3 linked regions of the Tamandua tetradactyla genome follow. The protein of the gene in region 2 interacts with the protein of the main gene of each other region in a pairwise test. Links are inferred from orthologs where the notes say so. Each region holds a gene or a part of one and is shown on either strand. Other genes may lie near its edges. The genes, in order: PLLP, membrane-spanning 4-domains subfamily A member 12-like and MALL.

Evidence for each region.
Region 1: the proteins of membrane-spanning 4-domains subfamily A member 12-like (region 2) and PLLP interact in binary tests that used the Homo sapiens proteins (3 or more experiments, as listed by UniProt). The two-hybrid records come from large-scale screens. The link is inferred for Tamandua tetradactyla from reciprocal best matches to the Homo sapiens genes MS4A12 and PLLP.
Region 3: the proteins of membrane-spanning 4-domains subfamily A member 12-like (region 2) and MALL interact in binary tests that used the Homo sapiens proteins (3 or more experiments, as listed by UniProt). The two-hybrid records come from large-scale screens. The link is inferred for Tamandua tetradactyla from reciprocal best matches to the Homo sapiens genes MS4A12 and MALL.

What each region holds. Positions count from the first base shown.
Region 1 is NC_135342.1:50,961,691-50,969,488, reverse strand, and holds the start of PLLP (plasmolipin), read left to right. Parts: upstream 1-4,784; 5' UTR 4,785-4,901; coding exon 4,902-5,036; intron 5,037-7,798. UniProt on the Homo sapiens protein: Main component of the myelin sheath that plays an important role in myelin membrane biogenesis and myelination. Plays an essential function in apical endocytosis. Regulates epithelial development through the regulation of apical endocytosis.
Region 2 is NC_135335.1:14,524,615-14,532,196, reverse strand, and holds the start of membrane-spanning 4-domains subfamily A member 12-like, read left to right. Parts: upstream 1-4,514; 5' UTR 4,515-4,566; intron 4,567-7,582. UniProt on the Homo sapiens protein: May be involved in signal transduction as a component of a multimeric receptor complex.
Region 3 is NC_135343.1:1,888,860-1,896,924, reverse strand, and holds the start of MALL (MAL-like protein), read right to left. Parts: upstream 3,064-8,065; 5' UTR 2,923-3,063; coding exon 2,818-2,922; intron 1-2,817.

The sequences.
Region 1 (7,798 bases), on a different chromosome or scaffold from region 2:
GGTGGTGCCTGGTTGTCTGGTCAGGCAAGTGCTGGCCTATCTGTTGCTGTGAGGACATTTCATGGAATTAAATCATGACCACACTGGCAGCATCCACAGCTGATTGCATTTGCAATCAGTTAAGGGCAGTGTCTTCTGCAATGAGTGACACTTAATCTAATCACCAGAAGGCTTTTAAGGAGGATTCATAAGAGACAATCACTCTTCCTGCTTCAGCCAGCCAGTCTCTCCTGAGAGTTCATTGAGGACCTTCATTAGAGCTGCCGTACATATGTTGCACTCTTACATCCCCATGGTTGCATGAGACACTTTTATGAATTTTATATTTACAGATATCTCCTGCTGATCCTGTTTCTCTAGAGAACCCTAACTAATAGACCGAAACATAAAAGTGAAACTACAAAACTTTGTAGAAGAAAACCTAGCAGGAAATCTTTGTAACCTTGGAATAGGATAAGATTTCTTAGAACACACAAAGCATGGCCTATAAAAGAAAAAGTCGATAAAAAGGATTTTATCAAATCGAAAACTTTTGCTCTTCAGAAGACACTGTTATAATGAAAGACATGCCACATATTGGAGAGAATATTAGCAAAGTATATACCTGATAAAGGTCTTGTGTCCAGAATATATAAAGAATTCTTATATCTCAGTCATTCAGAAGACAACCCAACTTAAAAATGGATAAAAGGCTTAAATAGACATGTCTCCAAAAAAGACATACAAATGGCCAGGAAGCACATGAAAGGATGCTCATTATTAGCAATCAGGGAAGTGCAAATCAAAACCGCAATGAGATATCATTTCATACCCATTGGAATGGCTGTTATTTTAAAAAACATAAAAATTACAATTGTTGGAGAGGATGTGGAGAAATGGAAATGCTCACTCACTGCTGGTGAAGAGTGTAAAATGATGCAGCTGGAAGATAATTTGGCAATTTCTCAGAAAAAAAGTTAAGTATAGAATTACTGCATGACCCAACAATCCCACTTCTATATATATATAATTCAAGAGAATAATGATAATATATTATATTTAGAAAGGGAAAGATAGGGAAGGATACTCCTAACTCTTAGCAGAAATTAATTGGAGGGGGATGGGTGGTAGGTTTTTGGATGTATGTGTGATATGCAATGAAATAGATTAATGAATTAATGATATGATTCAAAATAAAGAGATTAACCAAATTAACCAACCCCATAGCGGGGAGCATAGGGCTAGATGGAAAAGTGCTCAATAGATATCTGCTGATTATAATCAGAAACCTCAGACTGTTGGCTTCTGAAGGCTGTTGGATGAAGGATAGAATAAGCTTTCTAGATCCCTGTCCCCTGCTGAATAATCCCTCCCTCTTGGTGCTGGCTGAGGGCTGTACCTTTTCTTGGGGTCTGATCATTCCTATATTGAATCCTAGTGATTTCAATCCTCGTGGATTTTTTAAAATTATAAATGAAGTGGTGTAACTACCTTCCAAATGTCTGTTTTTTTGTTTTTTGTTTTTTTTTTTAGAATAAATCCACTTTGGTACCAAGAGGGTAAGACACAGGTGACCTAGCCTCTGGCTGCCTCCAGAACTTCATCTTTACCCCATTTCCACAGCTCACAGCCTCTGTTCTTCCTCAACAACCTCAAAGTCTTTCCTGCCCCCAGGGTCTTTGCACACGTCTGAAATGCTCTTCTCTTGCGTGGTGCCTACTTATCCTTGGGGTCCCTGCTTAAATGTCTTGACCTTCTCTGATCCTGCTATGGAAAACATATCCTTCAGACCTCAGAAGTATTGTCTCCCATGGCACCCTGCTATGGTAGCATTATCACAGTTGGGAACGATCTACTTGTCTGTGGATTTGTTTATCTAGAAGGCCTGTCTCTCCCAGCAGACTATCTACTTGTTGAGGGTGGGGCCCCTGCCTGGTGCCGGGTTCTGTCTCAAGGTGCTCACTAGACATTTGTTCAGCCTCAGATTCCTGCCCTTCTGGATCATGCCCACCCGTGGTGCGACAGGCAATCTGTGTCAGGGTGGTCTGCTCAGACCTCAGCAGGGGATCCAACCCTGGTAGCGGACTGCCTGTCTCCTCCTCCCTCTCAACACCCTTCTCCCCAAGAACCTGGGGCTCTCCTTGAACCAGTGGAGACCCAGGTGGGCGGCAGGTCCCAGCCTGGGGACAGATTCCTACCCACTTTTTCTGTCTGGGGGCCGGTAAGATTGGTTGGGCAAAAAAAATGTTGAACTAAAAAGACAGTGCAGTGATTCAGTTTTGCTTGCTGCCATTTGAAAGGAATGAAAGTGGGATTAACCAAAAAAAAAAAAAAATCAAAACAAGAACAAAAATGAGAAAACAAAAACACACTACTGTTTCAGAATCTGCCTCTGAAACAATCATCTTATTGTTTTCTGTGTCATCATAGAATTAAGAGCCCACCCAAGCTTTTCTCAGCATTTGGACTCAACCGGTCCTCAGAAAGGCTGGTCTCTGCATGACATTTTGCAGCTACCAAATTACACTACTAGTTTCCAGAGAACCTATGGTGGGGGGAGGAGGGAAGTGTGTCCAGGTGCATGGTGGGAGTAAGAGGTGGAATATCCAGTTGACCCCTTGGGCAAAAGTTAAGTCAGCATCAACCAACCAGTGAAATTTTCCACGTGGCCATCAGTCCCTGCCTCTCCCCTGATTACAGCCCTCCAGATTTCAGAATAAAATGCTAATGCACTCCATCACAATAAAATGCTAATGCCCTCCATCACAGTGACTGACTGATAGCCACTCAGAGAGATCAGGTCTGTATTAGTTTCCTAAGGCTGCTATAACAAAATATAAAAAACTGGGGCTGAAAGCAACAACAATTAATTGTCTCAGTTCCGGAGGCTAGGAGTCTGAATCAAGGTGTGGGCAGGGCCACATTTTCTCTGAAGTTCTGACGGTGGCTTGCCAACAGCCCGTGGAGTTCTTTGACTTGTGGCCATAACACAATCTCTGCCTCTATCACATGGCCGTCTTCTGTCTGTGTCCAACAGCCTCTTCATTTAAGGACACCAATTATGTTGGATTAGGGTCCACCCTAATCCAGTTTGTCATTATTTTAACGAATAACATCTTCAAAGATCCAATTTCCAAATACAGTGATGTCCACGGGGCAGGAATTAGGACCTGGGATAAGAAATTTTACCTTACAGGGCAAAAGGGTCTTTGCAGTTGTGATTAAACCAAGCGTCTTGAGATGGGAGATTATCCTGAATGATGTGGGTGGGCCTCAGGGCAGTCACAAGTGTCCCCTTGAGAACGAGGTAGAGGAAGATTTGACATACGCAGAAAAGGAGTCAGTGTGACCACGGAGGCAGAGACATTCTTCCTTAGAGCTGTGGAAAGAGTGTGGCTCTGCCAGCAACTTGCTGTCAGCTCTGTGAAACTGCTGGCTTCTAGAAATGTGAGAAAATAACTTTCGTGTTTTAAGCCACCAAATTTGTAGTTATTTATTACCGTAGTCACAGGAAACTAAGACAATAATCTAAGCAGTGCTTTGTGATCTGGTCCCTGCTAGAGCTCAATGTCACACCAAGGCCAAGATTTTAGTTCCTCAAACTTTCTAGCGTGGTCCAACCTCATGGCTGTTGGACTTGCTAAATAAGTTCTTCTCCCAGGTCTTCTTCCCAAGACTGGCCCCTATCCATGATTCAGTTCAGTGCATAAATGTCACCTCCTCCAAGAGGGCTTCCCTGCCCACCCTATCTGAAAATCACCTCCTGCTCATTCAGCATCGCACCCACCTGTTTCATTTTCATGACAGCATTTGTCACTATTAGGAATATTTTTTCTCCCTAGTTTTTATATTTGTCACCCCCACCAGAAAGTGGGATCCAAGAAAGACTTGTCTGACTTGTTAGCTTCTCTATCACCAAGGTTTTAGATAGAATTTGGCACTTCTTAGATGTCCAGCAAACAATGGTTGACGAATGAGTTAATGAGTTATCTATGCAAGCCTCTACGAGTGATGGTCTAAGGTGTGTTTCTGTGTGTGCATACGAGTTTTAGGGTTCGGGTAGAGCAATGAAACTCCGTCACCTTTGAGCTCCCCACTCCCCCGCCCCCGTTCAAGGCATGCCAGGACCTATGCTGGGGATCCCCATGAAATATCTCATTTATTCCTAATAACAGCTCTGTGAAATGAGGTTCCTCCAGATCTATTTTCAGGTAAGAAGTTCAGCGAACTTCTGAGTTACTGCATTGCACATACATAAGTGAAAATCACATCAGTTGAGCCATAAAAGGCCCGGCCCCTCCACCGTTGCACCCACAGTTTACACGCATCCCTCCCCTTCCCGCGCGCTAGGTCTCGCGGCGACTCGGTAGCAGGAGCTCGGCAGCGATGCTGATCCCACTTTACTGAAAGAGTTCCAGGGAGGCGCAGAGGCTCGCGCGAGGGCGCGCAGCTCCGGGAGAGCCAGGGCAGGTGGGTTCTGCTCGCGGCTACCTGTTGATCCCACGGCACCCACGCTGCGGGCAGGCGGCGCGCGGAGGAGAGACCAGGCGCGGCGAGTGCGGGGAAGATTCTGCGGGAGAAACACGCGCGGCCGCCTAGGCTGGCCATGGGGGAGCCACCTCGCTGCCCGCGGCCTCAGTTTCCCCCTCTGTGAAGTGGACCCCGCGGCGTACGAAAGGGTCGCGGCGGGCCGGCGGCGAGCAAAGGGTTAAAGGGGCGGGTCTCGCCGCGAGGGCGGGGCGGGGATTCCGGCCGCACCTGGCGGCTCCCGGCTCCCCGCCCCGACGCCGAGCTCTGCGCCCGGAACGGCAGCTGGGCCCCCAGGGGAGGAGCGGCGCGGGAGCCCGTACCCACTGCGGGAGCGGCGGCGGCGACGGCAACGGCGACGGCCGCACAAACCTCTGGAGGCGAGCGGAGCCGCCATGGCCGAGTTCCCGTCTAAAGTGAGCACGCGGACCAGCAGCCCCGCGCAGGGCGCCGGCGTCACCTCCTCCGCGCTGCGCCCGGACCTGGGCTTCGTACGCTCCAGCCTCGGGGCGCTCATGCTGCTGCAGATGGTGAGGGCGCGCGCCGGGCTGAGTTGCGGGAGGTCCGGTCCGGTCCGGTCCGGTCTGGGAGGGGTTAGGGCCTCATGGACGGATGGGGTAGGGGGGCGGCTTGGGCTGCGCACCCTTCTCGCAGCCCGCACCCCGCCTGGCTGGGCCAACACGCGTACCGACGCCTACCCCGGGGGTGCCTCCAGGACCGAAGCCCCCGAGAACCCCCTGGAACCTTCTCACCACGAGTCGCCCCCCTTGCAATCCCAGGGAGTACAGGCACCATGCACTAATGGACACAGTGCTCACTCTGCAGCTCCCCATCATTCCCCTCAACGCCCAACGCGGCCACACGCTCACAGAAGCCACAATCAATGTGCGCCACACACACACACTCTGCCAGGACGAGGCCGGCCTTCCAGCTCCCTAGTCCTGCAGGGGACGCCGTCCGAGGAAATGTCCGCTTTCTCTTGATCTTCTACCAAGCTCCCCGGCGGCTCCGTGTGGCTGCACCCCAGAACACACTTCTGCGTAACTGGGAGGACATATCCGTTCTCCCAGCACATACACTTAGGTGCGGCTTCCTCGGCGTCCGCGAGGGCGCCGGGTCCCTCTGGCTTGCTCTGGGTGACTTGCCGGGTTCCAGCCGGTTTAGCAGGCCCCGGTGGCGCCGAGATACCGCGCCCTGAGCACCAGCATTTCTGGGAAACCAGAGACAAGACATCTCCCTAGACCCCCGCAGAGGTGGAGAGACTGGAATGCCCACTCCATTCCCTACCCCGGTACACGAGTTTCAGGCCTGGGGGTGTTCGTTTTCTACCCACAAACCACTTTTAACGGGAGTCTCGAAGCTGGGTGGCTGCCCCCCGTGGGAGGCTTCTCCACCAGTTGAGGTGTTGGTCCGTTTACGGAGGCGTAGGGTGGCATTGGAGGTGGACCAGGATCCATTTTCCTTTAAATCCAGCTAGAGGGACATTTCTTGCCGTCCCCCTGCTGCTAGGTCCTTATTCAAGGCCGGCAGGAGAGCAAGGTAGCTACACTTGGTGTCGAGGTTCGGCTGGAATGAAAGCTCCCCCTTTCTCCTGGGTGAGGAACTCCCGACTACCCACCCCCACCCCCATGTTATTTCTATTCCAGCGGTGCTCCAATCGCAGGTTGTGGGGTCCCTGCCCCCACCCCAGCAGCTGAGATTTCCGGAGGGTTTGTTTAAAATGCAGATTCTTTGGCCCCACCCCTGGAAAGAATGTGAATTGTCATTTGACTCTCAAGAAGTGCCGCCCAGAAATCTACATTTTTAAACTCCTCTCCCTGCCTGATTTTTTTTTCCTCTGCCCTGAGGGGGAAGAGACCCATTTCCTGGACTAATTTAAATTTTGGGCCACTGCTTGTGTGCCAGGCTCTGGGCTGATTGTCAGAGGGCACAGCAGGAAACAGTGTTGGGGCACGCTGTCTTCAGGGAGCCCCACAAGAGGGGACAGCCAGGTGCCTTGTGAGAAGTGGTGCAAACCGGCGGAGTACAGTGATAATTCTGAGTCTGGGAAGGCTTCATGGGGGAGGTGGCTTTTGAGCTAGGTCTTTCTGTGATCTCTGGAAGATAATTCCATGCTCAGGGCAGTGTGTTAGCCAAGGCTTAGAGGTGGGGAGTTGCAATCAGATTGGTGAAGCTGGAGTTGAAGCACCCGTTACTTGGTGTGGCCAGAAGCTGCCGGCTTTGAGAACTCCATGAGACTAAGGACTTGGTTCTCTTGGCAGCGGGGAGCTTTGGGAGGGTTTGGAGGGAGGGACTTCTGCTGGGCTGAGGACAATGATTGGGCTGGCAGGGTGGATCCTGGCCATTTAAGCGGCTTGAGGATTCTGGTCCATAGGACCTGAGCACATGGCTCATTTGCACTAGAGCCCTGAGAGTGTCCTACAGAGGCTGTGGCTGCAGGGACCTTGGTAGCCTCAGGAGGAGGCTTGAATTCCTGATTTGGGGGTCTCCTGGGGGTTCAGCAGCCCAGCTCTGAGCATCTGGATCTCATTTCATATAGGTCTAAATAGAATGTATGACTTACCACATGTGCTCACTGGAGCTTGACATCCCACTAGGATTCATTTGTGTATAGGTTTCCTTTGCCCACTCCCAGCACTGTAAAAGAAGATGTGTGGCACTGTCCACCGATTTATCACTAGTTCAAATGATAAATCCATCTGGTTCCAGAAAGAACATAAGGTGGAGTTATTAAGCCGCATAAGACACCCCTAGGGCGTTTGGGACTCTCATCAGAGTTCTGAAGACCGGCATCGATGCTTCACCAACCTGCTTCTTAGAGAAGCTACTTCCTGAGCTGTTTCTCTGACAATGGACAATTCCACTGAATCTGAGTTTGGGGGGGTATTGTTCACTCAATAGGTACCATGTCTTCTGGGAAGACCTAACAGTGACAACATCTCCCCAAAATCAGGTACATGCTAGGTTCCAGTCCCTTTGCCAAGTTTTATGTCCTCTTATAATTCCCCCACTTTACAGGTGAGGAAACTGAGGCTCAGAGGGCAATTACTTGCCCATGATCTCAGAGCCTGGGAGTGGTGGAACTGGGATTTAAGCCCCGAGGGGTCTAGTGGCCCATGCTCTTAATTACCACATTCAGCTGTGTTCCGGGGGGCACAGGGCCTGGTCAAGGAGGGTGATGGGGTCTCCAGGCCCAGCACCAGATCTCTAGGAGCTCTTGGTCAGTGAAGGAGATGCCCAGAGGATGTGTTTCCCCTGCAGGGATCAGGAAAAGGCTGCTTGGAGGAGCACT
Region 2 (7,582 bases):
TTCACACCTGTGAAAAATTATTTTAAATATTACCAGTTACCTTAGGTATGTCATATTCCATCAAAAGAAGATCTACAAATTGGAAATTACTCTATCCAGAAGCCATTTTTAACCAAAATAAAATGTTATCCTATAACTTTTCAGGATAAATAGTTGGAACTGAACTACTGATGGATGAAAGGTATATTTTTAAAATACAGCATTACTGCCTTATTTGGAAAGAAATGTTTAAATGAATATCCTGTGTTTGCAGAAATTATTTTAAAATCTCTTCTTTCTCTTCTGTCAACATACCTGTGAGATCGATTTCTCTACTATGGATGTTATTTTAAAAAAAACATAGAAAGAGTTTAGAAATACACTGTCCCTGGTAAGCAGCATTGCCACCAATCCAATTTAGATTAGACAAATTAACAAACAAGAAGCCCTGATTCCATTCAAACTTCAAATAACTTTAAATAGTGACATACAAAATGGCCATTCAAGTGTGAGTGTCATCAGAACACATGGTCTTTGATAGTTAAGCCAGCCTAATCCTGGATCAAACAGAGAAACAAATCTCTTTGTCATAGTGAGCTGAGTTTTACTCAGGGGCACAGGAAAGGAGCTAGAGGAAAAATTTCCCAAGACCAGTTCAGAGGGAGAAGGGTGATTTGGGCTTTTATAACACTAAACAGAGAAGGAAATGGCCAAGATCTAGAAGAAAGCAAAAGAAAAAAAATAGAGGAGGAAAAGCTGTTTGGTTAGCATATTCAGTTATTCTGTAGGCCCTTCTTTTTGTTGACCATTTAGGTTTTTTATCTTGTTCTTCGAAGGAAAGAAGGTGATGATATTAGTCTAAATGGTATTTTATTCTTACAAGCAGAGCAAGGGAGGATTTTATTACTGTAACAGAAAATAAATTTTTGAGATTAAATCAACAATAATCTATTTCAAAAAGGGCTTTTAGGTTCAAAGTAATTCAAGGCTGCTTGAGTGAAATGATTATAATAAACATTTTTCTAGCTACTGAGGATTATACTAAACGTTTTCCAGCTAAAGGAAAATATTGAGTATTTTTCCTAATTATCTAAGTAGTACCAGTAAAGACAATGTGGGAAATCATTATTTCCTTCATCACTTTTGTTTAGTTACAATTTTTAATGGATGACAAGTTAGAAGTATAACAGTGATTTTATTAATTGCCTATCAAATGATGTTTTCAGTTTTGTAATTCTTTTCTATTTTCCCATGTCATGTTTGTTCAGGTTATATTTATTACAGCATAATTTTTTGCCTGCTGAGTCTAATAAAAAGTTGCACTTGAATTGCTATGGCTTTTATTTTTTCTACTGTCACATTTACCATATTTTCCAAAAGCATTGGTCCATATGCATCGGAATTTTTTTTTAATATAATTCTTCTGCACAGATAGTTTGAGAAGCACTAAGCTGGACGACCATGTCTTGGGGTCAGTGCTCTTGTTTATAGACCTCACCCCCAGAACCAGCCTTTACCGGCTCCAAACCCACAGAAAGGAACCCATGGGTCATAACTCTCTGAATCTGGACTGAACTTCGGCCTGCTGGCTGATCTCTTAGGAATCCAACTCCACAATTAGGCCAATTTCTCCAGGTTTGAAATCTTCTAAAACAAGGATTTAATCAGGAAAGCTAACCAGAGAAGTGTTTTCATGGTATTTAAGTTGCAATAACAGGACACAATGGCTGCAATAGATTGTTCATGAGCAAACACTCACCTACACACCCTAAAATTTTACTGCCTATAGGAGCATATCATGTTTGTTCCAAATTATTGTTCCCACCTAAGTTCACTCACTGGTATGTATGACTGTCCTAGAAGAATAGAGACGTAGACATTTTAATAAATGGAGCAATTTATTTGTTAATATACGAGGCAAGGTATCTTCATACAGTAACAAAAAGGAGAAAACAGGAAGCAGTGAACCATTTTGCAGCACAAAGGCCACCTTTGCAGCAAGCCAGCATCGTTTGGATGCTATACAAAAAACACAGCACTCGGGTGGTATGATAGTAGCTTAGTAGCAGAATTCTCACCTGCCATGCTGGAGACCCAGGGTCGATTCCTGGTGCCTGCCCATGCCAAAAAAAAAAAATCACAGCACTCTGCATTTGCATGGCATCTTCTCACAAGGGCTTTACCACTCTCCTGATTATGCAGGTTTTGAGAAATCAAGAATGCACTGATTATCATACTTATGAAGTGATAATTCGCTGACAGTATAAATGCAGTGAGATGGCCATTTATTTCTGACAGTGAGTATGGTCACATTGAATCACATCCTTCACTAACACATGTTCAAATCCCAACCTGTGTCCTATGGGTGTGAACCCATTGGTAAATAGGATCTCTGAAGGTCCTTTTAAGGTGCAGCCAAGCTGAGTCAGAGACAGGCCTTAATACAACATGGTTGTGCTAGTTTGAAAGGATGTATGTCCCCTAGAAAAGCCATGTTTTAATCAAAATCCCATTTCATAGAGGTAGAATAATCCCTATTAAATACTATATGGTTGAATCTGTAATTAGATCATCTCCCTGGAGATGTAACTCAGTCAAGAATGGTTGTTAAACTGGATTGGGTAGAGACGTATCTCCACCCATTTGGGTGGGTCTTGATTAGTTTATTGGAATCCTATAAAAGAGGAAACATTTTGGAGAAAGTGAGAGATTCAGAGAGAGCAGAGCAGAATGACATAGCCACAAGAAGCAGAGAGTCTACCAGCCAGCAACCTTTGGAAATGAAGAAAGAAAATACCTCCCAGGTAGCTTCATGAAACAGGAAGCCAGGAGCGAAAGCTAGCAGATGATGCTGTGTTCACCACATGCCTTTCCAGATGAGAGAGACACCCTGACAGGTTTGCCATGTGCCCTTCCACTTGAGAGAGAAACTCTGAACTTCATCAGCCTTGTTGAACCAAGGTGTCTTGCCCTGGATGCCTTAGATTGGACATTTCTATAGATTTGTTTTAATTGGGACATTTTCTTGGCCTTAGAACTGTAAACTAGCAACTTATTTAATTTCCCTTATAAAAAGCCATTCCGTTCCTGGTATATTGTATTCCAGCAGCTAGCAAACTAGAACAATGGCTGAAGTCCTTCTAAGGAAAGGAAATCTAGACAGAGTCACAGACGACTGAGCAGGAGAAGCCAGAAGACAGATCACTTGTGACAGAGGCAGGGACTGAGCCACATCAGAATGCTACAAACTTGGGAGAAAGCATGCCCTGCCAATACCTTGAGTTTGGACCCCTCGCCTCCAAAACAGAGACAACAAATTCCTGTTGTGTAAGTCAACCAGTCTGTGATGTAGGTCACAGCCAAATAAGATACATGCCACAGCCATCAGGCAAAATAAGACAGCTACTTAGAATGCAAAATTGCGTGTAACTCTGTACCCATTTTAGAGAAATGGAAGAGAGGGGTACTCTGATTTGGCCAATAAATTCATATAGTTAGTGGAAACTACTTAATATTTGAAATCCTAGTAAAAAGTCATAGGAAGACAGCAAGAGTATTACCTTATTGGTAATAGGGAATTAACTTAAAAAAAAAATGTTGGCCTTTGATGGCCTTTGATTCAAGCACAATACCAATAAGATACAAATCTGTAATTCATGCAGCAGCATTTCAATTTCCTTCTCAGAATCAAAGGGATCTGAGCAAGAAACCAGTAGGCAAAAGAAATTTGGATTATAACATGATTGTACTTGTTTATTAAGATAAGGAATCTGTTCACAGATTTCCATCCAAAAATATTGAAAGGAAAATGTTTGCATGCTTAAGGGATTAAAGTTTATTTATCTACAGAAATTACCATAGTCAGAGAACAGCCTAATTTCCCAATTATGCTATGAAAAGCAGGTATGGCAATATATGTAAAAGCAGTACTTATGGAGCCTTCTTTAGTCCTTGGTAAATCTTCAGCACTTACTAGCCTTGTTTAAAGAACTCTGAATAAAATGCATTCTGTACTGGTCAAAGAGCATTTTCTCTTCCTTAAAAAAAAGGAAGACATTCTGAAGCTAGTGCATAAAAAAAAATTATGAAATTATGTCTTATCTCCTGCCTCCTGGAAGGGTTACAGAAATAAGAATTTAAAAATACCACATGGAAGCATCGCATCATTAAAGCCACCAACCAACCCCATGGATATGAGACCAGGAAGGAGCAAGAACACTTTAGATGAAGAAAGATTAAGTTTAAGAAAGAATTCCTCATCTATGGAGAGTCTAGAAAGCCACTCATAGAAAGAAGCGCCCTCTCTGCTTCAAGAACACTGGTCTCTTCAACCTTCTTTTCTGCTGCTTGGATGACATAAATCTGCCCAGTACAAAGGAGAGGAAGCACAGTGTATTCTAAAATTTATAAACAGGATTATATATCCATTTGTGGTGGAAGATAGCCCATGATAAAAGAACTTTGGACTATATAAAACAGTTGACAGGTTGGCTTGAAATGAGGAAGTAAAATGTACTTATAAAATCTGAAACCAACACAGAGCTTGAAGCAGAGGCAGAGGGGACGCAGAGGTGCCAAAGGAACAGAGTAAGTCCATTAAAACATCTCTACCTATCTCTTCACCCAAATGAATGTGCATAAATAGTGGGGCTGCTCTATCTGTGCAGGTTCTCTGCTACATTCTGTTCTCTTATCTGGAGAGTGAAGCCAATTCTTGACTATACGTTGAGATCAGTAGATAAGTGAGGGAAAGCAAAACCAAGAAGAAAGGAAAGAGGAGAGAATTGAAACAGGAGAGCAATAAAATAAAAATAACAGGAGAGAAAGGAAAGAGGAAGTGCACCGTTAACAGGCAAAAGGTACTGCAAGAAAAAATATCAATAGCTAAATGCTAAGAGAGATAACATGGTAGGTTCAGATGTTTGTCATTTCCATGAACATCAATCAACAAGGAGGAGGCAATGTTCTGCTGTAAGCATTTGATGATAATGTAGCTACCACACGACTTTCACAGAAAGCCCTATAAGGAGTTGGTTTTGTAATAAATTTTAATCAAGGTGCCTCTTTCTGATAAGAAGCAAAGGTGGTGAAAATCACACATTATCACCAGGTCAGCATGTTTATTTGTGGAAAGCTATATACCTGCATACCTGTCAATGCACTGAGTAAGCCCATTAAAACATCTCTACCTATGAGTAATACTGTCGAAATGACCCACCATTTTGTTTCACCACGGTCATGAAACATGGTCAGCAACACCCAATGATATTAAAAATCAGATTAATGTGGAAGTAAGATGGAAAGAAGCTAGCAAATGTAAATGATTACATTTGTAAATGTAAATGATTCCCTTTTGTATTTGAAATCAACTAAACAAAAGGCAAATTATGAGCTCCTGTCTTATTACCATAGCCGTATCCTTTTGATCTCATCAAACCTTTTACTTTGCAATGTGTTCCTTGTACTTAAAAATGATTGCAGTTGCTCTAGCTTTTAGAAAGAAAGATAACTACTGATAATTATTTTGCAATACCCAAGAGAAAAATTGTGCTAGGTCAATGGAAAGAGTCTACAAAGAGAGTCTATTCACTGGGTTCTTTTTTCTTGTTATCATTTCCAGGAATATCTTCATTTCACTTAGTTATTTCCCCCAGTATTTTTCCCTCCCTTTTTACCAACTGTGCAACCAGCAAGACTGTTTATAGAATAAGTCGTTTTTAGTATAAATTAGAAGGATTGAAATTGGCTGGACTCTTTATTCCTTTTAAAAAAAAAAAAATCAGGGGCAGGCCACAGTGGCTCAGTGGCAGAGTTCTCGCCTGCCATGCTGGAGACCCAGGTTCACTTCCTGGTGCCTGCCCATGCAAAAAAAAAAATCAGAACATAACCCAGTAAATACTCATTCTGGGACCAGCCACTGTCTCTATAGAGATATTAATAATGAAGAGTCTATATGAAGCTCAAATACTTTAGCCCAGAAACTAAAGAGTAGATACGAAATCAGAAACTGTCGATAAATCAGTGAAGACTTAGGTTTCTCTTATCAAATTTGGGACAAAAAAAAAAAAATTCCCAAGATCAACAGTAAAAGAAGGGATAATGAGATCAGATATATGCAGAAACATGGGGTTTAACTGTATACTTTAAAAAAAAAAAAACTCCAGGAAATTTTTGTTCTGGTTAATTACTGTACCCCAAACCCTCACCTCTTATCTACTCACTCTTTGCCTTGACCTTTTAAAATTCAATCCTTGCTATAAGCTTACCATATGACCACATCCACAGCTTAAATTGGGAAAGGAGGCTTTGGGCTCTAATAATAAAGTGACAGCTATCTTTTATTGAGCCCTTGCCATACGCCAGACACTGTTCCAAAGGTTTCATGGGAACTACGATCATTTGATCTCCACACTACCTGTCTTTGAAGGGAGACATCATTAGTCTCATTCTAGTTGAGACATGGGGACCAGCAAGGATTTAGGGAGGTTAAGTAATTTACTAAAGGCCCCAGAGTTAGTGAAGTAGCTGACTGGGGATTAGAAAACAAGGCTTGAGCATAAATGACCAAGGAAACCAGATCCTTGAGCTGCAACCTCATGTTCTTCAAGAATCACAGCTATGGAACTGTTTAAATTTCTTTGTTTAAAATAACCTTTTGTGCCTTAATTTTTTTTTTCCATTTTGAAAAGGTAATCCCTTGATAATCAGTGGTTTCTGAGTCCCCTTCCTGTTGAGTTTTCAACCTTTTCTCAGTGGTTGCTAGCATTTGGGTAGCTTAGAGCAGTGCTTATGAATGCAGGTTCTAGATTCAGTTTTCTCATCTATGAAATGGGAATAATAATAGAACCTACCTCATGGGTTTTGCAAAGCCTAAGAGAGATAATGTTTCACATACACTTATAGCGTTATTATGTAAAAGGTACAATTCTAAGACATTTGCATGGAATGATTCTTAAGTACTCAAAGCAACTGTGTAAGGAAAGAACTCATTATCCACATTTTACACACAAGAAACTAAGGCAAAGAGAGGTTAACAAATTTTCCAAAGCATAGCTGGTGTCAGAGCCAGGATTCCAACCCAGAATCCGTGTTCCCACCCATGACAATGCACAGCCTCTGCTGGGCACAGAGTAAGTGTTTAGTAAATGTTAGCTCTCTGGGCAGCCTACCCGAGGCTCACTGAGAAGAGGCCTTGCTGGCTTAGTTTTTGAATCACTAAAAAGTCAGTCTGGTTTACAATGTCCTCGGCACAGCAGCAGAAGGCAGTAGTTTTGTCTTTGGGTTGTTGTAGGTGCATAGTCAATTCCCCATCTCCAAAGCTAGCCTGGAAAACCACCTCTGCAAGCATCCACAATGAAGTAGTTTGGTTTTAGTAGGGGAACTCTGGACCAACAGTCAAAGAGCCCAATTTTCTCTTCCTGGCTCCACTACACATATTCTATGTAACCTTGAGCGAATCATTTAACCTGTCTGAGCTTCAGTTTCTAACTGGTAAACTAAGAGGAATCAGACAGGATGACTGGAAAGACTCTCCAACCCTGAAATTTCAGAATTCTCTATCATAAGCAAGGTAAATCTCCCAGTACAAAAAGGATGCCTTGTT
Region 3 (8,065 bases), on a different chromosome or scaffold from region 2:
TGGTTGCAGGCAGAGGAGGCAGCCGAGAACCCGCACTTGGGGTGCGGCCACTCCTCGCCTGTTACCAGAGCCCGAGGCTGCGCCGGCCAGCCAGGGGCCACGGCTCTCCACTCCACTCCCTTGTACTTTACTCTCTTGCTCCCACGTGGGGGTTCCCGCCCAGCTGGCTCTCGGGGTGCCGCTGGCACTCACCCTGCGCCAGCTCCAGGTCACTGGCCTTTGCTTCCTGTGCGGCTTCTTCCTGGCCTGACCTCCCAGCTGAGGATCCACGCTCTGCACTCCTGTCTCCAGGAAACACGTTCCTGTCTGAGGCGCCCCCACAGCCGGGGCTGTGTGGCTGGCCCCTCTGCGTGGTGTCCAGAGGCCGGAGGGCCCCTACTCAGGGCCAGTCTGCCTGTCTGTCCTCCTGCCCGGGGCAATGCCCCCTCTCCAGCTGACCTCCATGACTCGTGGTCCCGTAATTCCTGCTAAATTAGGGGGAGCCCGCCCAGACTAAGCCTGCCGAAGTCCTGCAGGGGTACATAGACGCGCGGCAGGGCTGCACAGATAGGCCCCAGTTTCACGGTGTGCTAGCTGAAGCTGTGCTGCACCCCAGAAAAGGCCAGGTGCCTTCTCCTGTGGCGGCAGACCTGTTGTGGGGGAGGGGGGCATTTTGTTTAGGTGGTTTCCATGGAGATGTGACCCACTCTATTCAAGGTAGTTCTTGATCCTTTACGAGGGGATAAAAAGGCAGGAAAGGCTGAGAGTGCTTAGAGGGAAGCCCTGGGGATGCCAGGAGGTCCCACAGGAGCTCAGAGAGGAGGCCACAGAGCCAGGACTGAAGGCAACGAAACCCAGGAGCGGAGGCCGGCAGACGCGCCATGTGCCTTCCTTTCTTCAGAGAAGGTGTCAGCCTGCTGATGCCTTAACTGGGACGTTTTCATGGACTTAGAACTGTAAATTTATAAACTAATAAATCCCTGTTGTAAAAACCAACCCATTTCTGGTATATTGCCTTCTACAGCCCTAGCAAACCAAAACACAGAGAAACTACATTTCTACATCTTCTAAGTTTTCGCCCATGAACGAGGATTGCTCATGAATTAAGAAATGAACAAAACTGTAATGAGAAAATCAAAAAGCTCACACTGAGGGCCATTCTACAAGGCAACCGGTCAGGGCTCTGCAGCAGCGTCAAGGCAAAGAGAGAGGAGGTGTCCTGGATTAACAGGACAGCACAGCACAGCGTGGACGGAATCCTGGACAGGAAACGGACACTGGCAGGAAAACCGGCAAGATTCAGATACGGCTATGGAGGAGCTATGGCGAGGATTTGATATCAGTTTGCTGATTTCTCCAGCTGCCTGTGCAAGACGTGACATCAGGGGAACTCCAGAGGAGCACCCGGGAATGCTCTGCACTATTTCTGCAACTTTGCTGTATACCTAAAGTTATTTTAAAATAAATGAATAAAACTGAACTAGTGACAATGCAAAATACTTAAAGCTCCAAGAGCCCAAATCAGCCAAGCATGTTGCTCCTCGGCATTCGGTGGGATGCTCCCATGAGCACAGCACCCTGGGGGAGGGGGGCGGAGCACGGCAGAGCCCCTGCCCGGGGCTACTCTCTGAGCTGGGCACTGGGACTCTACACCTCCCACCCCCACCTGGGGAGTCCTGTCCGAGTGTCCTCTGTCCAGGCGGGACTGCTGACAGACACCATGTGCCCACAAAGGCTGCGGCGCCCCCTGGCCCGTGTGGGTTCTGGGGGTGGGGTGGGGCGCAGCACACACGCCTACCAGGGCCCTTGCACCAGACGCCCGCGCTGTGTCCGGCCGCCGCCCTCGGGTGGGGTCTCCGCTGGAGTCACCGACAGGCGGCCCGCCCTGCCGGCTTCCCTTCACGTTGACATCACTGCGCGCCCTTTCACCAGTGGCCAGGAGGTCAGTCCCGCCGGGCTGCCTGCCAGGCACCTAAGGCGAGCCAGGCCCAGGCCAGAGGCGGGACCCAGGAGCCGGGCCAAGCTCCCAGCAGGTGGGAAAAGGTCACCCAGAAGCAGAGACTTGGGAAGGCGTTTCCTGTGCTCTCCTTCTGCCCCGTGCATCTCAGCCGGCCTCGGTCTCCCCATCGGGAAAAGGGGCACCGACAGCCGGCTCAGGAGGGGACACTGGGGGCCCGTGCGGAGCCATGCTGCAGACGGGACAGACCAGGTGGGCGGGGCCATGGTGACAGGACCTCACCTGCCCTGGGGAGCTCCTGCCCCCTCTGCGGCAGGGACTGTCACACGCCGCCTGGCGTGGGTGCGCGTTATCAGTCGCCATCCTGACCTCTGAGATGGCCCGAAGACTCCCGGGGGCCTGGACTCCTCTCCGGGCACTCATGCTCGGGGAGGGGGTCCCCGCGGGCCAGTCCAGCCCCACCAGCTTCTGGAGACCCCCAGCCTCTCAGTCCTGTCCCCCCCCACCCCCAGCGGCCCGGCAGCCCGCCCGCCCGCCCCACAGTGGGATTTGTTTTGGAAAGAGGAAATCCACCCGTCCGCGGGGGCGGTGAGCAGCCCCAAGTGGGAGCGGCTGGTTCTGGGGGACAGCGGCGGATCCAGAGCTGGAGGGACCGAAACCACCGGGTGCCGCAGGAGGCGCGACCCTGCCCCAGCCCCCTGCCCTCTGCCCGGGCCCTGACCTCCCCCCGGCCCCTGTCCTCCACTCCTGCCCCAGCCTCCTGCCCTGCCCCAGCCCCCTGCCCTCCAGCCCTGCCTTGGCCTGTGCCCGTGACCCTACCCTGTTCCCCGGCCCATTCCCCTGGCCCAGCTCCTGCCCTGGCCCCCCCGCCCGGCGCTCACCAGCTCCGGCAGGAAGAAGGCGAAGGGGACGGTGGTGAGCAGCGCGATCCCCGAGGGCACCTCGGGCCCCTTGTAGCTGCTGGCGGGCGGGTCCCGGGAGGCCATGCTCGCACCCTGCCTGCGCCTCCCCGCAGTGCGACCGCCCGCCCTCAAATAGCCTCCATCGGCCACACCCCGCGACGTCGCGGGGAGGGCAGAGGCCGCCCGGCCCAGCAGGTCCCGGGGCAGAACTGGGGCGCCCCCTCCCCCCCCCACCCCGCCCCGGGCCGGGCCCAGGGGAGGGACGCCCTGAGGGGGCGGGGCTGGAGGGCACAGGACGGGGGGGGGGGGGGGCGGGTCACCTCGGCGGCCCTCCCCCATGCCCTCACCCCACCCCACTCCCACCCCACCGCACCCCGAGTTCTGGGCGTGGAGTGGCTCCTGAATCGCCGAAGCCCCGCCCCTGCTCCCGCCCCTCCCACCCTGCATCCCCCAGACCCCAGCTGTGGCTGCCCGGAGCCGGGTCCTTCCTGCGCCCCCGCCCCAGGCCGCGCCCCCTTGGGTTGCCCTGTTCCTCCCCCCTGAGAACTGGCTGACCCCAGTTCCCCCGATGCGGGTGCTCAGGCCTTGGGACCCCTCTGCCTGCCCCGCCCAGCTTCGGCTGTCCTGGCCTCGGCTGTCCTGGCGAGGACCAAACGGGGGAGGATTGCAATTTGGCGCTGCCGGCAAGAGGCCTGGAAGCCAGTGAATTCCAGGCTCCGCCCTCCAGGTGAGCCTAGCCCCACCCCACCTGCCACCTGGCCCCGCCTGCCACCTGGCCCCACCTGCTCACAGGATTAACCAGGCCAGGCCGACGTTTCCCAGGAGTCCACCTGTTTCACTGCTTGTGAAACCTGCGCGTGAACCCTCGGTACTCGCTCTGACTTGATGTGCAACCACATAGTGTGCACATCTTAAGGTAAAGAAGGAAAGCCACCTTCTCCAGGGGGCTGCCCTCCTGCGCAGCAGAGAGCTCACACAGGACCAGGGCCCCGGCCACTGCACTCCTGCGCCCATGGGGGTGTAATAGGAAATGGAGACATTGTTAAAACGAGGCTACTAAAATTGGTATGCTTTAAATGTTTACGTCTAACCTGGTAACAACTGATTATACGACTAAGTGCAGCACAGGAGCCAGGCTGCGCACAGGGAAACTAACTGTACTGCTCAGACGCACACAGGTGGGGAGGCCCCAGTAGGGACCGGGCTTAGTGCTCTCGGACCACCTCGGCTTCAGCACTCTATCCCTGGGGCTGTGGGTGTGGCCGCACTTGGAGACAAGGTCAAAGGCCATGTGTAGGCCTTGGGGAAGGGCAGGCCCGAGGGGGGGCCCCTGGACTCCCCCGCACAGGGCCTGCAGGTCCCCCTGCCTGGAGCTGGAGATTAGAGGGTCGTCCTGACACCCACGTAAGCAGTCATTGGCACCGCTGGCTGGAGTTCCCCGTTCTTCACTTGTTAGTTGGAGAGGATTAAATGAGATCTAGGAAAGCATCTGGGACCTGCTGGCTTATGGCAGACACTTCATAAGTACTTGTTTATCTGCTTGGAATCCTGAAACCACTTCTCTTCTGGCGATCGTTCCTTTCTACAGCAAGACCTGCACCTTCTCTGGTTAGTGTTTTCATTCCAATTAAAAAAAATTGTTTTTGTTGATGTATGACACACTCGTTGGAAAAGTGCACGAAACCTACAGACTGTGAAACCACGGTCCTGATCAGAACATGGAACAGTGGCCGTCCCTCCTAACCAGGCCTCCCTCCCCCGGGGGCAGCCGCTCTGACCTCTCACCCCACAGACGGGCTCTGCCTGGGCTGAAGGATCCTGTCTGGGTTCTGTCACGTTTGGCTTCCTCCACCTGCTGCTGGTCTGTGAGGCTCCGCTATGTCGCTGTGCGACGCTGTAGCTCACTGAGTGCTCTCTGGGGCCCCAGTGAAGGAGCCCACTACACTGTATGTATCCACTTTACACTCAGGGACTTTTGGGTTCTTTCTACTTGGGGTAATTATGAATAATGCATAGTACTGCTCAGAGCATGCTACAACATGTATTTGTGTGTGTACGTATGCACTTTTGCTGCGAGTGGAAGTACGGCCACACGGCATGTGTTTTTAGCAATAATGTCAAACTATTTTCCAAAGTAGTCGAACGATTTATATTTCCACCAACAATGTATGCAAGTTATAGTTGCTTATAAACAGTATTTGCATGCAGAATCCCCTTGATGCTTGCGTGGTAGACATTTTTCCATCCTTTTACTTCTCATTTACCTATAGCACTACACTTAGAGCAGCTTGTGTGTGTGTGCGTGCATGATCTAATTTGATTTTTTTAAAAAATCCATTTGAAAATTACTGTTTTACTTGGATGTTTAAATCATTTACAATTAATAAAATTATCTATATGCTTGGATTTACATCTACCATTTTTTGTTTTCTATTTGTTTGCTCTATATTTCATTCCTCTGATCCCTCTTTCTTGCATTCTTTTGGGTTTTCTCAATATTTTTAGTGTTCCATTTAAATTCATCTATTGGGGTTTTTACTTTATCTCATATTATTTTAGAAGTTGCTCTGGGAAGTACAATCTACATAGTTAATTTTGAACAATATACTCAGAATTAATATTTTACCAAAACCTTTCCACCATTAGTCCCTTTACTTTCTTGCCTTTAAGTTTAGCTGTCACGTGTTATATCTACATACATTCAAAACCGACAGTCAGTCTTGCTTTCAGCCCTCACATGTATTTTAAAGAACTTAAGAGAAAAACATAGTCTATTATATTTACCCAAATATTTACTATTTACGTTGCTGTTCTTTGTTCCTAAAGCCCCAGGCTTCTCTCTGGGGTCATCCTCTGCTGTCTGAAGACCCCCCGCAGCGTCTCTGTGAAGCAGGTGTGCTGGTCATGCACTCTTAGTTTTCTGGTCATGCTCTCTCCGTTTTCTTTCATCTGAGAATGTCTTTGTTTCACCTTCACTCCGGAAAGATATTTTTCTGGTGTTTAGAATTCTAGGTTGATAACTTTTCTTTCTTTTTTGTAGACTATGGAATTCTGGGTTGATTTTTTTTCCTTTCAGTACGACTCCTGGCCTCTCTAGTTTCTGATGAGAAATCCACATCATTCAAATGGTTATTCTCTATATGTAATGCATTTTTCTCTGACTGCTCTCAAGGTTTTTTCTCTGTCTTTAGTTTTAACTATTTGATTATGACATAGCCGGGCATGGATTTCATTGAGCTTATCCTGTTTGGTCTTCACTGAGCTTCCTACCTTTGTATCTTTCCCAAAATTGGGGGATTTTTCAGTCATTATTTCTTATAACATTTTTTCTGTGCTACACACTTTTTCTTCCTCTGGGACTCTGACGATATGAATATTAGACCTTTGATACTGCCCCACAGGTTCCTGAGGATCTGTTAATTTTTTTCCAATATACCCCCCTCTGTTATTCAGATTGGAAACGCATACTAATCCATTTTTAAGTTCACTGACTCTTTCCTTATCATCTTTATTTAGTCTATCAACTAAATTTTACAATTTTGGTTAGTATATATTTTCATTTTGGTTCTTTTTTGTACCGTCTGTCTTTCTATTCATTGCAAAGTGTTTGTCCTTACTTCTTAGAGCATAGCTACGAGAGCTGCTTTGATGTCTCGATTCCAACACTTGTATCACCTTCAAGCTGATATCGCTTTCTAAGTGCCCTTTCTCTCAACTCCACATCTTCAACAATTTCAGGCCCTTGTATATAAAACGAAATCAAAGACCCAGAAACCTTTTTTTTCCCTTTTAAATCAGTGACCTCATGGATTTTGTTTTACAACTTATGGAAAATGGTGTGATGATACTGCTGGTAAAACAGGAGGTTGGCAGCAGACAGACCTCCTCAAACAGGCAAGTTAAAGGGAACTGCCAGCTGTTAGTACCTGTGAAACGAGAAGAATTTGGTATATCGGAGGCTCCAGAAGCGCCCTACTGCCCGGACAAGCACTTGCTACATGAAGTTTAGGCTGTAAAAACACCACTCCTGAGCTGTCTCTCATCTAGATTTTAGCACCGTTTTTTTTTTTTTTCCATTTTGCTTTTTATGGACTGAAGTATATAAAAGAACCAGGGTCCAGAGGCAGGTGACGTAGTCCTTAACCTTGCTGAAATCCTTAAGTTCTTCATTCATAAACTTCACTTAAAGGACCAAAATTTCCAGCCCTCTTTTATAAAGATTCCTGCCCACATCCCTGATGGCAAAGACTCTCACTTCCCCATGGGTGACAGAGACTCGGGCCTGGATGGGACGGGGTGCAGATGGCTGCCCGCACACCTGGTCACACAGCCCCCCAGCTGCTGCTGCACCTGAAATTCCTTACTCCCTGCATCCATTGAGTCTTTGGCTTTGTCACAGCAATGCATGGTGCACTGGGTCAAGTGGTCCTGAAAATTCTCCAATTCATGGTCACCAGGACTTGGGCGAGAGCCGGAGGCGCATGGCAGTGCTCAGTGCACTGATGCACTTGCTGCATGGATGCCTGGCTGTCCTGGCAACAGCTGCGTTGCACCAGAATATGAAGCCCTGCATCTTCCGGATATTCTCTCTCCATGCTCTTCCCCATGGAGTCCCCTGCCCCCGGCAGGTGCTCGGAGCTGCTGCAGCTCCGCCACGGCGACTCTGCGCAGCCACCTGCTGCACCGGTGCCACATGGACTCAAGTTGGTATCTCAATTGTCCTTTGTCTTTTTCCTTGAGAAATGTTGAGATTTTCTTGGCTATTCAAATATCAAGCAATCTGGGGGTTCCCATTGCGTTTTCTGAGCTATGGCTCCACTGTCAGTTCAGCTTTCAAGGCTTTGTGGTGCTTCAGGTGAGGCTTGATCCAGTAATGCAAACAAAGCTCCCAAGGCCCCATATCCTGTCAGCTTTGCCCTCTCTGCATCTGGCTTTATTGTCCACCTCATATGGTACCCCCCATGCCCACCCCCCACCAAACATGCATGCCACCAGACCGCACATCTCTCCCGATACTGAACAGTGAATGAGAGTTTTCTGGTGAGAAAATCTTCTGGAATTTGCTCCCTTGGCCCATTTGCAATCCTGTCACGGTAACCAAGGAAGAGGGTTGTGCTCACCTGCTTAAGGCAGTCAGAGCCTGTTCCCAGAGATGGGATAAAAGGTGTGCATGCGTGCGTGCGTGTGTGTGTGCGTGTGTGTGTTGGGGGGGGCTGTCCTCCAGAAG